Linked DNA regions of Oryzias latipes. The protein of the gene in region 1 interacts with the protein of each later gene in a pairwise test. Links are inferred from orthologs where the notes say so. Each region holds a gene or a part of one and is shown on either strand. Other genes may lie near its edges.

What was found.
Region 2: the proteins of sumo1 (region 1) and etv6 interact in a two-hybrid assay, tested with the Homo sapiens proteins (2 studies listed by BioGRID). The link is inferred for Oryzias latipes from reciprocal best matches to the Homo sapiens genes SUMO1 and ETV6.
Region 3: the proteins of sumo1 (region 1) and c12h18orf25 interact in binary tests that used the Homo sapiens proteins (3 or more experiments, as listed by UniProt). The link is inferred for Oryzias latipes from reciprocal best matches to the Homo sapiens genes SUMO1 and ARK2N.

What each region holds. Positions count from the first base shown.
Region 1 is NC_019860.2:9,899,644-9,903,312, forward strand, and holds sumo1 (small ubiquitin-related modifier 1), read right to left. Parts: upstream 2,471-3,669; 5' UTR 2,450-2,470; coding exon 2,438-2,449; intron 2,064-2,437; coding exon 1,989-2,063; intron 1,737-1,988; coding exon 1,659-1,736; intron 847-1,658; coding exon 775-846; intron 699-774; coding exon 630-698; 3' UTR 609-629; downstream 1-608. UniProt on the Homo sapiens protein: Ubiquitin-like protein that can be covalently attached to proteins as a monomer or a lysine-linked polymer.
Region 2 is NC_019881.2:2,195,372-2,199,286, forward strand, and holds the end of etv6 (transcription factor ETV6), read right to left. Parts: intron 3,873-3,915; coding exon 3,730-3,872; intron 1,177-3,729; coding exon 1,076-1,176; intron 1,003-1,075; coding exon 831-1,002; 3' UTR 528-830; downstream 1-527. UniProt on the Homo sapiens protein: Transcriptional repressor; binds to the DNA sequence 5'-CCGGAAGT-3'. Plays a role in hematopoiesis and malignant transformation.
Region 3 is NC_019870.2:8,672,054-8,676,344, reverse strand, and holds the start of c12h18orf25 (uncharacterized protein C18orf25 homolog), read right to left. Parts: upstream 2,907-4,291; 5' UTR 2,500-2,906; intron 1,965-2,499; 5' UTR 1,894-1,964; coding exon 1,077-1,893; intron 1-1,076. Other genes in the region: ATP synthase subunit alpha, mitochondrial, read left to right, coding at 4,227-4,286. UniProt on the Homo sapiens protein: AMPK substrate important for exercise capacity and skeletal muscle function.

The DNA.
Region 1 (3,669 bases):
ATTGATCCAACACTCGACTTGGCGACCCGGAGAAAAGAAGGACCCAACCTCATCTGAGAGTGGAATAGATCAACAGGAAATGGACCTGCTCCCTCGTTTAGCCCCGCCCCCCTTCATTTGGACAGACGCTTTGGTCCGTTCCAGGAAAACAACTTTTTTTGTTTTGAATAGATGGAAAGATCAGAAGCATGCCGCTCTGGTATGCTTCTGATCGGTTTCTTTTTACGGTTTCTGTAACCGCACTTACCCAGAATGCCATCTGACATATTTCCTCTATGAGACAATTTTAAAAAACATTTTGGGGAGGAAGAAGCTCCTAAAAACCATTTTCCTGCAAAAGCACATCATTCCAGCAAGGTTGATAAAATAAAAATTTAAAACACGAAAGCGAAATGGTTGCCGGTAAAAATCTTAGAGTGTCCTCCGACGGCAGAGCCACAGGTTCGAGTCCTCGGTCTGTCCGCCTCCCCGACCGCACACATGGAAGCCCTGATTGAGTCCTTTTGCTTTTTTGATTCAGATGGTTTGAAACTTAACAGAAATACATACATACATACAAAACCAAATGATAAAAAACATGAATAAAAGGGGAAAAAAAAGAAGAAAAAAAAACATCAGAAATTGTGGCTTTAATGATTCCAAAGTCCGCCGGTCTGTTCTTGATAAACTTCGATGACGTCCTCATCCTCCATGCCCAGCTATAAAAAAACAGAAGAAAACACAAACCTTAGTGACCACTAGTGCTTGGTTTTCGCTCTTGCGAGTGTCGCTTACCTCTTTTGGGGTTTGGTTATCTGCGATTCTCTGTCCCTCAAAAAGAAACCGTAGCGTGCTCGCCAGGACTCCCTGAAAGAAACGTCATCCTCTGCTGTTAGACCATTAGGAGATTTTTATTTTTCCTTCAATCAGCTCTCCTTGAACGCCGCCGCGAGGCGCTAGGAGCACGAGTAACGATTACATAGACGAGCTTTTAGGTGTAACCCTTATGCTATCTTAGATGACCCCACCCTTACATTGACGTGTTCTCCCTACCATGACAAAAGTGGAAAGATTTCATGTAATCCATGGACACCAGTGAAGATCACAAATCATTGAAGAAGAAAGGTTAAGCGCACTGTCTAGTGGGTCTAGATGACCCAACTCCTAATGTTAAAGGGCCTAGGATAGCACAAGGGTTAAAGAAAATTAAGCTTAAAATTACATTTAAAATTGGGTTATTTTTTTTTTATATTTAAAATCGTTGTGAATCAGGAGCAGACAAAATTAAACTTAGTTGGAAAAAGGTTGCAGGTATGATTCCAAAGCTACTACGGCAAGCCACAAGGCTCCCTTGCAGACAAATAGACTCGTGTAACTTTTTTTTATTTTCCTCGTCCGAGCATCCGGATCCAAACTGTGCAGCTGGATAGCTCCGATATTGCTCGCCATTTTTGTTGCACTGCTAATATTAGCTTGGGAGTCTTAGTAAGCTAGCGGGAGAGCGTGTCAAAAAAATAAATAAAAATCACTAGGAACTTTTTATTTTTTGCAATAGATCAAAAGATGATCAGAGTTATCTTTTTTTTAAATAATGGCGTGTTCTACCATAAGGAACTGCATTTGGATGGATCTGCGAAGGCTGTCATTGGAAAAGTGGCGATGCGTCTTCCTCTTCATACCTGTCTCTGGCTGTAAGACTCTTTCAGCTTCTTTAGATGTGTGGTCATTTTCACCTTGAAGTGGATTTCACTGCTGTCCTGTGGGCAGAAACGGACACACACAAAAAGGTGATGCAGCTCAAAAACAATAACAACTTCCAGCATTAAAACGAATACATCTGTAAATGATAAAGAATTGGCAGAATCATTGACCAAAAATAATAGCCTTCTATAAACAATAATAGAGACACCACCACGTGCCATAACTTTATTTGAAATGGAGTAGAATACGGTTTATTTCTAAATGCAGACAGTAGTGACAACAAAAGCAGAGACACAAAAACAACCTACCTGACCGATCACTTTTAGTTTGATGTACTCTCCATCTTTCTTGTCGCCTCCGTCCTGATTGGAAGGTTTCGTCTCCTGACAGAAACATCACAAAACATTGCTACATGATGCGACCGCTAGCACGCTTTCGAGGAAGGCCCGTCTGTTTACTCCGCGGGTTCCACGAACACAGAGAACATCCACCATAGACACGAGTGTGGGTTCGGTCCCGCCAGCACCAGTTCTGACCCCCCCCCCAAAAAAAAATCTCAAAAAACTACACAAAAGCTCACGTGGAGGGTAAAAAAAAATCGCTAAGTTCAGTCAGAGGCCTGCAGCTAGAACAGCTAACGGTTAGCATGTTGTTAGATAATCACGTACGAGGCAGCGTCCATAACAAACACATTATCGATTTCTTAGTAAAGTGTTGACAGAAAATCATTCGAACTCTTCAACGTTCTTTTTCTTACCGTGTCTGACATGTTTATCCTGACTGTGTGCGGGAGGGGGAGGGAATCCCTTCAAGGTGTAGCGTTAGCTTTTAGCGGTGGCTCTTGCTTTATGTTGTGAGGAATGCGACATCAAACGGAAGTGACGCAGGGCTGTTCAAAATAAAAGTCGCGTGAAGGAATTTGTTTTGTAGCGGATTGTCTCCATAAGAAAAGCGCGCGCGCGCACACACACACACACACTCATACAAAAACCTTGCCTTTTCCAGTATTATGAAGTCTTTACTCCTGTTCAATATTCAAATGCAATATATATGTTTAGATTAAATTTATATATTTTTAACATGGGCTTAAAAAATAGCATTTTATGATAATTTAATAAATAACTATATATATATAGAGAGAGAGAGAGAGAGAGAGAGAGAGAGAGAGAGAGAGAGAGAGAGAGAGAGAGAGAGAGAGAGAGAGAGAGGATGAAACAGTCGACAGCCGACAGTGTGCTCAGTGAATGTCTCAGGCAATGGAGAGCAGAGGATACAGTGCTGGAGGACAGATCCTCATGGGAAGACAAACCCCTGCATGGGACGTACCACCGGACCATAACTGAAGTGGCTGATATCAAGAAGTCCTACCAATGGCTAGAGAGGGCTGGCCTACAGGACAGCACTGATGCGCTCCTCCTGGCAGCTCAGGAACAAGCCCTGAGCACCAGAGCAATAGAGGCTCAGATCTACCACACCAGACAAGACCCAAGGTGTAGGCTGTGCAAATAAGCGCCTGAAACAATCCAGCACATAACTGCAGGGTGTAAGATGCTGGCAGGGAAAGCATACATGGAGCACCACAATCAAGCAGCTGGAATAATATACAGGAACATGTGTGCAGAATATGGACTGGAAACCCCAAGGTCAAAATGGGAAACACCTCCGAAGGTGGTAGAGAATGAGAGGGCAAAAATCCTGTGGGACTTCCAGATCCAGACTGATAGGATGGTAATGGCGAACCAACCAGACATTGTAGTGGTGGATAAAGAACAGAGGAAAGCCGTTGTGGTGGATGTGGCAGTGCCAAGCGATGGGAACATCAGGAAGAAGGAACATGAGAAACTGGAGAAATACCAGGGACTCAGAGAAGAACTGGAGAAAGCATGGAAAGTGAATGTGACAGTGGTGCCTGTGGTAATTGGAGCACTCGGGGCAGTAACCCCCAAGCTGGAGGAGTGGCTACAACAGATCCCTGGAAAGACCTCAGAC
Region 2 (3,915 bases), on another chromosome or scaffold:
AACAGAGCTTCTCTCCTCAAAACCAGGCTGGTCAGACAGGATTATCCGTCTTCAGAGAAGAATCCCATCCGGAGTCCAAAGCTTGGCGGCCTGATCGGTGCGTGATCGTGCGGGAGGGGAACGCACCTGCAGCCTCTCGATCCGCGCTGCGCCGCGGCTCTCCCGCTCTGACAGCTGCGCTCTGCGCGCAACCAACTTTTAAGGAGAGACTGTGGCGCGCCGCCGTTACTTCAGGGGACAGAGCTGTGCAGTAATCAGATTACTTTTCTGGGGTTTTAAGGGGCGCTTACTTTCTGCGCTCGGGATCTGCAGATGAAACCTAGGGATCTTTTTAAATCTCAATAAAGGTAGAAAGTCTAAAATTTATAATTAAATAATTCGATTTGTGTCTCTGGGTTAAATATAAATACATATGTCAAGCAATTATAACCAGAACTGTTTCTAAACCTGTCACGCGCCAAAATCATTAAATCATTAATTGGAGGCTAAACTTGCCCTCTGCTGCCACCATGTGGACGTTGAAGGAATTGCAGTTTGATCAAAAGGTTTATTTCATGGTGAAAACAGTCTGTCACGCTTTCTCACGCACACTCCAACACACAATTTTCCATTTAGAAACTAACGCAATGAAGCCCCCCCCCAAAAAAAACCCCACACACAAAACCACGAGGAGCAGAGTCTTTGCGTTCCGCCGAGTCCATCCAATAAAACATGTTCATTCCATTTTTTTCTTTTTTTTTGACAGCAGGTCAGGAAAAAAATCATCTTAAGGCAAAGTTTAGACCAAGACCCCCCCTTCCCCCAACACGAGTGTCCAAATTCCCCACGGATCAGTTGTAGATGCCATCATCGCTTTCAGAAACATGTTCATGGGGGTCCTTCCCGCCCGCCGCCGACCCCAAGCATTCCTCCTTGATGTAGATCTCCTCGTACGTGTCCGACTCCAGGTGGTCCAGACGCTCGGCCTGGCCGTTCATGATCTCATCCGGGGTTTTCATGAACCTGCAGGTAGCAGAAAGGAGGGTTTTCAGCAGGCGGAGCTGCAGGACTGGAAATCCAGCTCCAGGAAACGTACCTGAACAGAAGCCGTTGGCCCGGCTCTTTCCTGATGATGTTCAGCTTGTAGTAGTGTCTCAGTGCTCGCGACATTTTCTCGTACGTCATGTTGGTTCTGTTCTGCAAAGGTCAAAAAAAACACAGGAGTTTGTAAGAATGGCTCTTCAGTAAAAGATCGAAATGCTCACTGTGTCCACTAGGGGGCAGCAGATAGCATTGAACCTGTGAAGTTTGGACTGGATTTTTCCTTTTCTGTTTTAAAAAAACTGAATCCTGTTTTATTATTTTAAACACATTTTGTCATCTCAAACTGTGTTGGGGCAAAAGTCCAGTCTTTTGAAAACCATTGTCATCAGCGCTAACATCAGCCACAGAACCTCAAAAATCTTTCAGAATCAGAAGAAACCTCTACGTCACAGCGATCGGCCATCACATCGGTCGTACCGCGTCCCTCCTGCAGCGGTGCGGACTAGGTTGAACGGTTTTGGCAGCGACTGTCCGTCTGAGTGGCGTTCATACTTTTAAAGCCTGATGATGCGATTCGCAGGTTTGTTATTTTATTTCTAGAGATTTACAGGGAGATTCTTTGCTATTCTGTTTCATGTATCGAGCTTGATTTGGTTCCTCTGGAAAATGTTTCTGGAGAAGCTCACATGGATATAAATATGTTTCCGGTTCATTCGTGATGCAGACAGGACGGGGTAGGAGGTACATGACGGGGTCTTGGATTTCAAAAGCCTTAACAAAAAAGTACACTTTAAAAAAAAGTTCTATCACCTGCTGCATGTCTTAATGGAATAGATAAAGATCCGGTTTTCATTAGAACATAGATATGGCGTGTAAACGGCGTGTTTTCTTCCAGTGTCTAATCCCTCTTGCATTTTAAGAGGCCTTGTATTCGACATCCGCGGACGTGGAAATGGCGGTTTTCCGGATCAGCTTTGCTCTGCTGTAGGAACCACTTGCAGTGACGCCACGCACACTGTTGTCCGCCATTTTTGGGTAAAATCGGCAACTTTGATGTAAAGCTACGTTGACAGATTTGTTAGTGGACGAGGTTTGGTGTGCACCCTGTACAACCATGAATCTTACGCCAAGCTTTTTCTTTCTCAGCTCTATTCGGATTCTGCGGTTGGCACTTCTGTGAGTTTAAAGATTTGTCACTAACAAATCTGTGGTCAGGTTGACCAATCAGGGACTCAGATTGGTCAAGTTGAACCTTGACCACGATTGGTCAAGGGAAGGGGTGTCAATCACTTTGTAGTGAAACGTTTATCATGGGCCACCATTTTGTTTTCACAGTTGGAACAATTTCTACTAAGTGTGAGCAGAAATTTGTCCCCGCCGCATGCGTGGAAAGCCAAAAAAACAAAATCAAAATACAGCAGCGAATCCAAAACACACGTGTCGAGGATATCCAAAGAAAGTTTTGAAGTTATTATGGGATGACCTTACGACCTAGGGCTTGACGGACATTTTGTGGCAAAGATTGAGATTTGCCGTTTTTGAAGTTTTTCGACAAAATGGGAAAACAACATTTTAGTTTGTGCCATTTTCACGAAATTTCACGCAAATGCCGCTAGCTTAAGTTTACAACGACCACAGAAGTTCCACCGCCATCTTGAATTAAAAAAAAACACTTTTAGCTCCAGATACAAACTAAAACTCGTCTGAAGGATTTTTATTGATTGTAACTTCTCGATTATCAATGGCGAAGTACTGTGGAAAAAATGTTGGAATTAGAAGTTTGAAAGGCGTGCGTGTGTCGATTTTGCAACTGTTGCGATCTCAGCTAGCTCTCACATTTCTTATCACAATGTCGTAAAAACCGTATACATGAATTCTCCGGTTATAACGTACGATATGACAGTGTCAAAATTCTGGGCTTGGTAAACAAAAAACCTTTGCCAAAATAATCTGCTGACTCAGCTAAAAAATGTAATTCGGGTGAAAAATATTTACAATTCTCTAAGGAAATCAATATCCACTTGTCAGGATTTCCATAGGAAGTTTTCCAATCATTGTGGGATGGCCAGATGACCTACGATTTGGCGGCCATTTTGTGCCAAAATCAGAGATTTGTGGATTTTCTACAATTAAGGAAAATTACCTTCTTTCGAGTAATTTTTGCAAACATTTACACACGTGGTGCTAACTTAAGTCTACAACGACCCCTGGAGTTTTGCCAACCTTTGACCTCGGGAAGAAACCTCCATCTTGAATTAAAAAGAAACTGCACCTTTAGTAGCAGATACAAACGAAAACTCGTGATTTTCATTGATCATTTCCGAACTTCTCGGCCATCATTTGGAAGCAATTATGGAAACAATGTTGGAATTCTAAGTTGTAGATTTTGAACGTTTTGCACGTGGCGACCTTGCAAAAGTGGCATTCTCCTATACTTGCACATTCTTTAATGGAACACAGTGAACATTTTCCAAAGCGATCTTTTAACCAGAGCTATGAAGTACAGAGCGGGGACACGGCTGGCAGGCGGGAATATTTGAGCAAACTTCTCACATCTTGCTACAAACTAACAATAGGGTGTTCAGAGGTCACATGACCTCATGACCCGGCTCGCTGATTCCATTTGCTCTTCATAGACGTGACATTTATACGTTAAGATCTTCTTTTGCAGACGGAGCAGAAAGGGAGTCAGGTGGAGGTGTTTACTTTGTGGTTGCCCCAGAGCCTGGCCAGGCCGTTGGGATCCATGATGCGGAAGACTTTGCTCTCCGGATCCTCCCAGCGGATGTAGTTCTCGTACCTGCTGTCCGACAGGAGCTGGTAGATGTAGTCCCACAGCCGCCGGCAGTCTGTCAGGCCCCACAGGTAAAGGAGCCTGTTAAGGGGAGGTTC
Region 3 (4,291 bases), on another chromosome or scaffold:
AGTATGAACACAATTGCAATATCTTCATTATTCAAACTCTCTCATTAGACAGGAGAATACCTGATTAAATCAGAAACATTTGATGTAAAAAAACATAAATTTACTAACTGCTACTCACTAAATAAAAGCCTTTCTAAAGCCACAAGGAAAAAAAAAAAAGAGTGAAAAGATCAGGCTTAGATAAATATGAGGGCCTCTTTCCCAACAGCAGCATCACATCTTCAAATATTAGCCTACTTGTTGTTCCAGATGCCTCAGCTCTCCCAAGACATTTCTACATCAGCTGAGGAAACAAGAGAGCTGATCTACACGTACAGAGGACTGTCAGGGTTTGACCTCGGTTTGCATTAGACGATTCAGAGCATTGTATAGATTAACATTTAACACACAAACGCTGCCCAACTGCTCTGCAGAATCTGTTTTAGAAAAGAAGGACCACCCGACTGAACCGGTAAAATAATTCTGTGTGGGCAGTATGATCGACCTGGACCAAAACAAAAAAAACAACAAAAAAACCTTCATCACACTAAATAAAAAACAATAAAACAAAGCAGGTCCTATTAAAATAATAATAAAAAAGAAACCTTTGATCGCATCTTTCAGTGATCTACACATTTATTAGACCCTAAAAACTCTAACAGGTATGTTTTGTAAAAATGTAATGAAATCACAATGGAACATAGAACAGCTACCAAAACAGCAGAAATGGCACTACTGGTGGATTATTATTACCCCATGAGTTATACAGTGTCAAATAAACCTTCACAGCATGCAAAACGGGACACAAGCGCCATCAAAAAGTGAAGTAGAATGGCAAGTGACTGGACAGAGAGCAGCTAAATGAAGATTATTTAGGCAGAGATACAAGACAAATGACTTTAGATGGTAGATGAGGAAAAAACTAGAAAATGACCGATCCACAAATACAAAGCAGGCCTTCTTTGGCATTTATTTTACAACATTTTTTGATTTGATTACACTTTCTTAACTAAGGTTCTGTGTCTTTGCTATATTAATGTTTTTTTTTTAAACTAAGTATTTATAGCCACAGTATGTGATAAGATTATGGACGTTACCTGGAATATCTGTCTGGATTGTCTTGCTTCCTCCAGAAGTGTCATCATCCTCAGAGGAGGTGGTGCTCGAGTCACATGTGAGCTCACTGTCACTGGTACTGCTGTCCTGCAGCAGGTTATATTTCTTCCGTGCTGCTGCTTCACGTTTCTGCCTCAGCAGACGTATACGCTCCTTGTGTTTCTGGCTCCGGTGACCTTTCACTTTAGTCGGCTTGCCATTAGTTTCCAGCCCAGCAGCTACGGCCATTGTAGGCTGGCAGCGGTTCTTCTTGGCAGCCATCGCACTGGGAGGCGTCTCACTCTCTGAACGCGACCGGCGGGACTTCCTACCTCCTGAGGCAGTGGCAGAGGTTTGTTTTGATTCTTGCCCAGGATCATTTGTGGCCTCCATAGCATCCCCTTCTTCTCCTCCTGCAGGTGGAACAACACCCTCTTCTCCAGACGAAAGAGTATCTGAGTCAGCAAGGTGCCCACTAGATGAAGGGGACAGCATGCAGGGATTTGAAGAGTCACTTTCATAGATATTACGTGACACAAGCTTGTCACTCCTTTTAGATGCATGTTGGGACTCTGGGGAGTCTCTGTGGAGCTCCTTCATCAGGCATGGCATTGAAAGGAGACTTTGCTCCCCCTCAGTGTTTAAGGGGCTGTCTATCTCCTTCTCCCTTGGGGGTGAACTCGTACTGGTGGTGGTCTCCGTTTTCAGATGCTCATCTTGTTCTTCATGAACTGAGGCTGTGGCTGATTGAGGATCATCAAGGCATGCAGGAGGGCATTCGACATCCAACACTTCTTCTGCTCTTGAGAAATCAGCCATCTTTAATCTTGTTTAGCCCAGAGCCCAAAGGTCCACCAAACTTGGACCAATGTCCCTGGACAGAAATTCACCTGCCAGAAAAAAAAAAAAAATCATTTGAAAGTTTTGATATGCTGAGGAATGCAAAACAAGCAGACTCAATAGGCTTCTTTGACTGCATGTATAACAGCAGACTCGCCCAATATTATATGCATCAATACCAACATATATTCAAATTTTTCATTTTGGCCCAAGTTTTCACAATTAATAAAATTCCAAGCAAGATTCTGTGAAAAATTGTACAAAAAGTTGGTTATTTAATGTTTTATATATATATATATGTGTGTGTGTGTTCTGTTGGAGTTTGTAACTAGCTTATGCTAACAACCTTTTGGCTGCTAACTTGAAATAATTTCGATCGTAATATATCGTCCTCCCGAGCCGAGAGCGAGAAGAAAAAAACGTGCGGTGAAAATAAACACTCAGGCAGGACAGCTGCACCGCAAGCCTATAAATGGAAACAGTGTCTATCCAGACAGAAGTACCGGGCAATCTCATGTCAACGGCTAAAAGTAGGCTAACCGTTAGCTACACCCCTCTTTTTGCATTTGTCTGGTTTCAACTTACCACGGTGTTAGTTATAGTATTCGTTTTCCAGCGTTGCACTTTTCAACATTTTCAAAAAAATATTAAGTTCTCTGGTTTTCCAATAAATGAAACCAAAACACCAAATCCGCTTTAAATAAACGCAACTTGCATGAACGCGAATTTGCTTTGACGCAGTCCGCTCTGAGCTTCGCCAGCTCTTTTAGCTGTTAGCTCAGTGTTTATTTTAAAATGTCTCCTTCGGCAGTCCTTTCCACTTCCGGTCTCTCGGTTTTATTCAGACGCCCCCTTCAGGTTTACATGAGTATTACAGCTTAATATTTTTTTTCATCCTTTCTTTCTATTCAGATGAGCAGGAAGGCGGATTTTGATACACTAAGCGTATGCGAGATGTTCCATTTTGTTCTGTATCCTTACAACCATTTGAATTATGTATTTGCCCTTTATTCCACTGTAGGATTTTGATAATAAATATTTTTTTCAAAAAACTGAAGTGTTGCCAAGAGTGACTGATTAGCTTCAGGTTCCAGATCTTATAAAACAGATTAAATTAATGTTGAAGTCAAAATGAGTAAGTAAATGGTCAGGTATTCCGTTGCTGGAGTTTAGTCATTTAAACAAATTTTAAGTTATAAGATTACGAGAAATAGATTAAATAAATTAGATGCTGTCCTCTGAGATTTGACAGAAAAAGGTCTTGGTATGGGGCATTCAGTACAGTTGCCCAATATTTTTTTTTTAAATTGAACTTCAAACAAATGCATACACATGACTACAACAGAAAGAAAGAAAAAAAGGATAAAATACAAAAATGAATAAATAAATAAAAATAATAACATTATAATTTTAGTTTACAATACTAGATATTGTCATACAACATGTAATCTTCAATGAAAATAGACAGTTTCATTGCATTTTTGTTTTTTTAAATTAATTTCAGAGATTTAAAATATAAACTGATCTCTTCATGAAATGTATTGAATAATGGTTTGGTTTTTGAAAATCTGCTCTTATGAATGAAACATTTCCCAGATATTAATACAGTATTAAATGTCAAATCAAATAGATTATCACCAGAAACTACTCCAAAAAAATATGATGTGCTTTTGTAATTGAAAAGAAATAGGAAAGGGAAACTTTGAGGAGCACCAAGAAAAAAAAATCCTCCCAAAAACATTCATTAAAAAAAAAAGATGATCAAGTGTTTCTATATTTATGTCACAGAAAGAACAGTTATTTCCTGGAAAACCAAATTGTAAATGTAGTAGTTCCTTGCATGGAAAGACTACATGCATTATTTTAAAATGGATTTCTTTGTATTTTGGAAAAATTGGATATTTAATAACTTAGAGCTTAACTTGCTTATTTTTTCTTTTGTGTAATGCTTTGACATAGAATGATTTTTCATGAAATCCTATAAATGAGTTTGGAAGTTTTGAATTAACTGGTCGACCATCAAACAATGGAGATGGAGGTGAACTATAATAACCAGCTGACTAAATAATGGCTGACTGGCTTATGCCTTTCTATTAGGCTATGTGTTGATATTGACAATGAATTTAACTTACTTTGCTTTAGATTTACATACAACAAACTACATTATATTGCTAGTTTCAATACTGGGTGCATGGAAAAATGCATTTTTTTTAAGTACTTCCGGGTCACGGAGCTCTTTCCGTAGCAGCCTGCAGTGTCTTCCGTCCTTCCCTGTGGGTTCCGGGAGCAGGACACATCAACAGAGGTCCATTATGCTGTCAGTTCGCGTCGCAGCGTCTATCGTCCGCAATCTGCCTCAAAGGGCCAGATTTGTAAG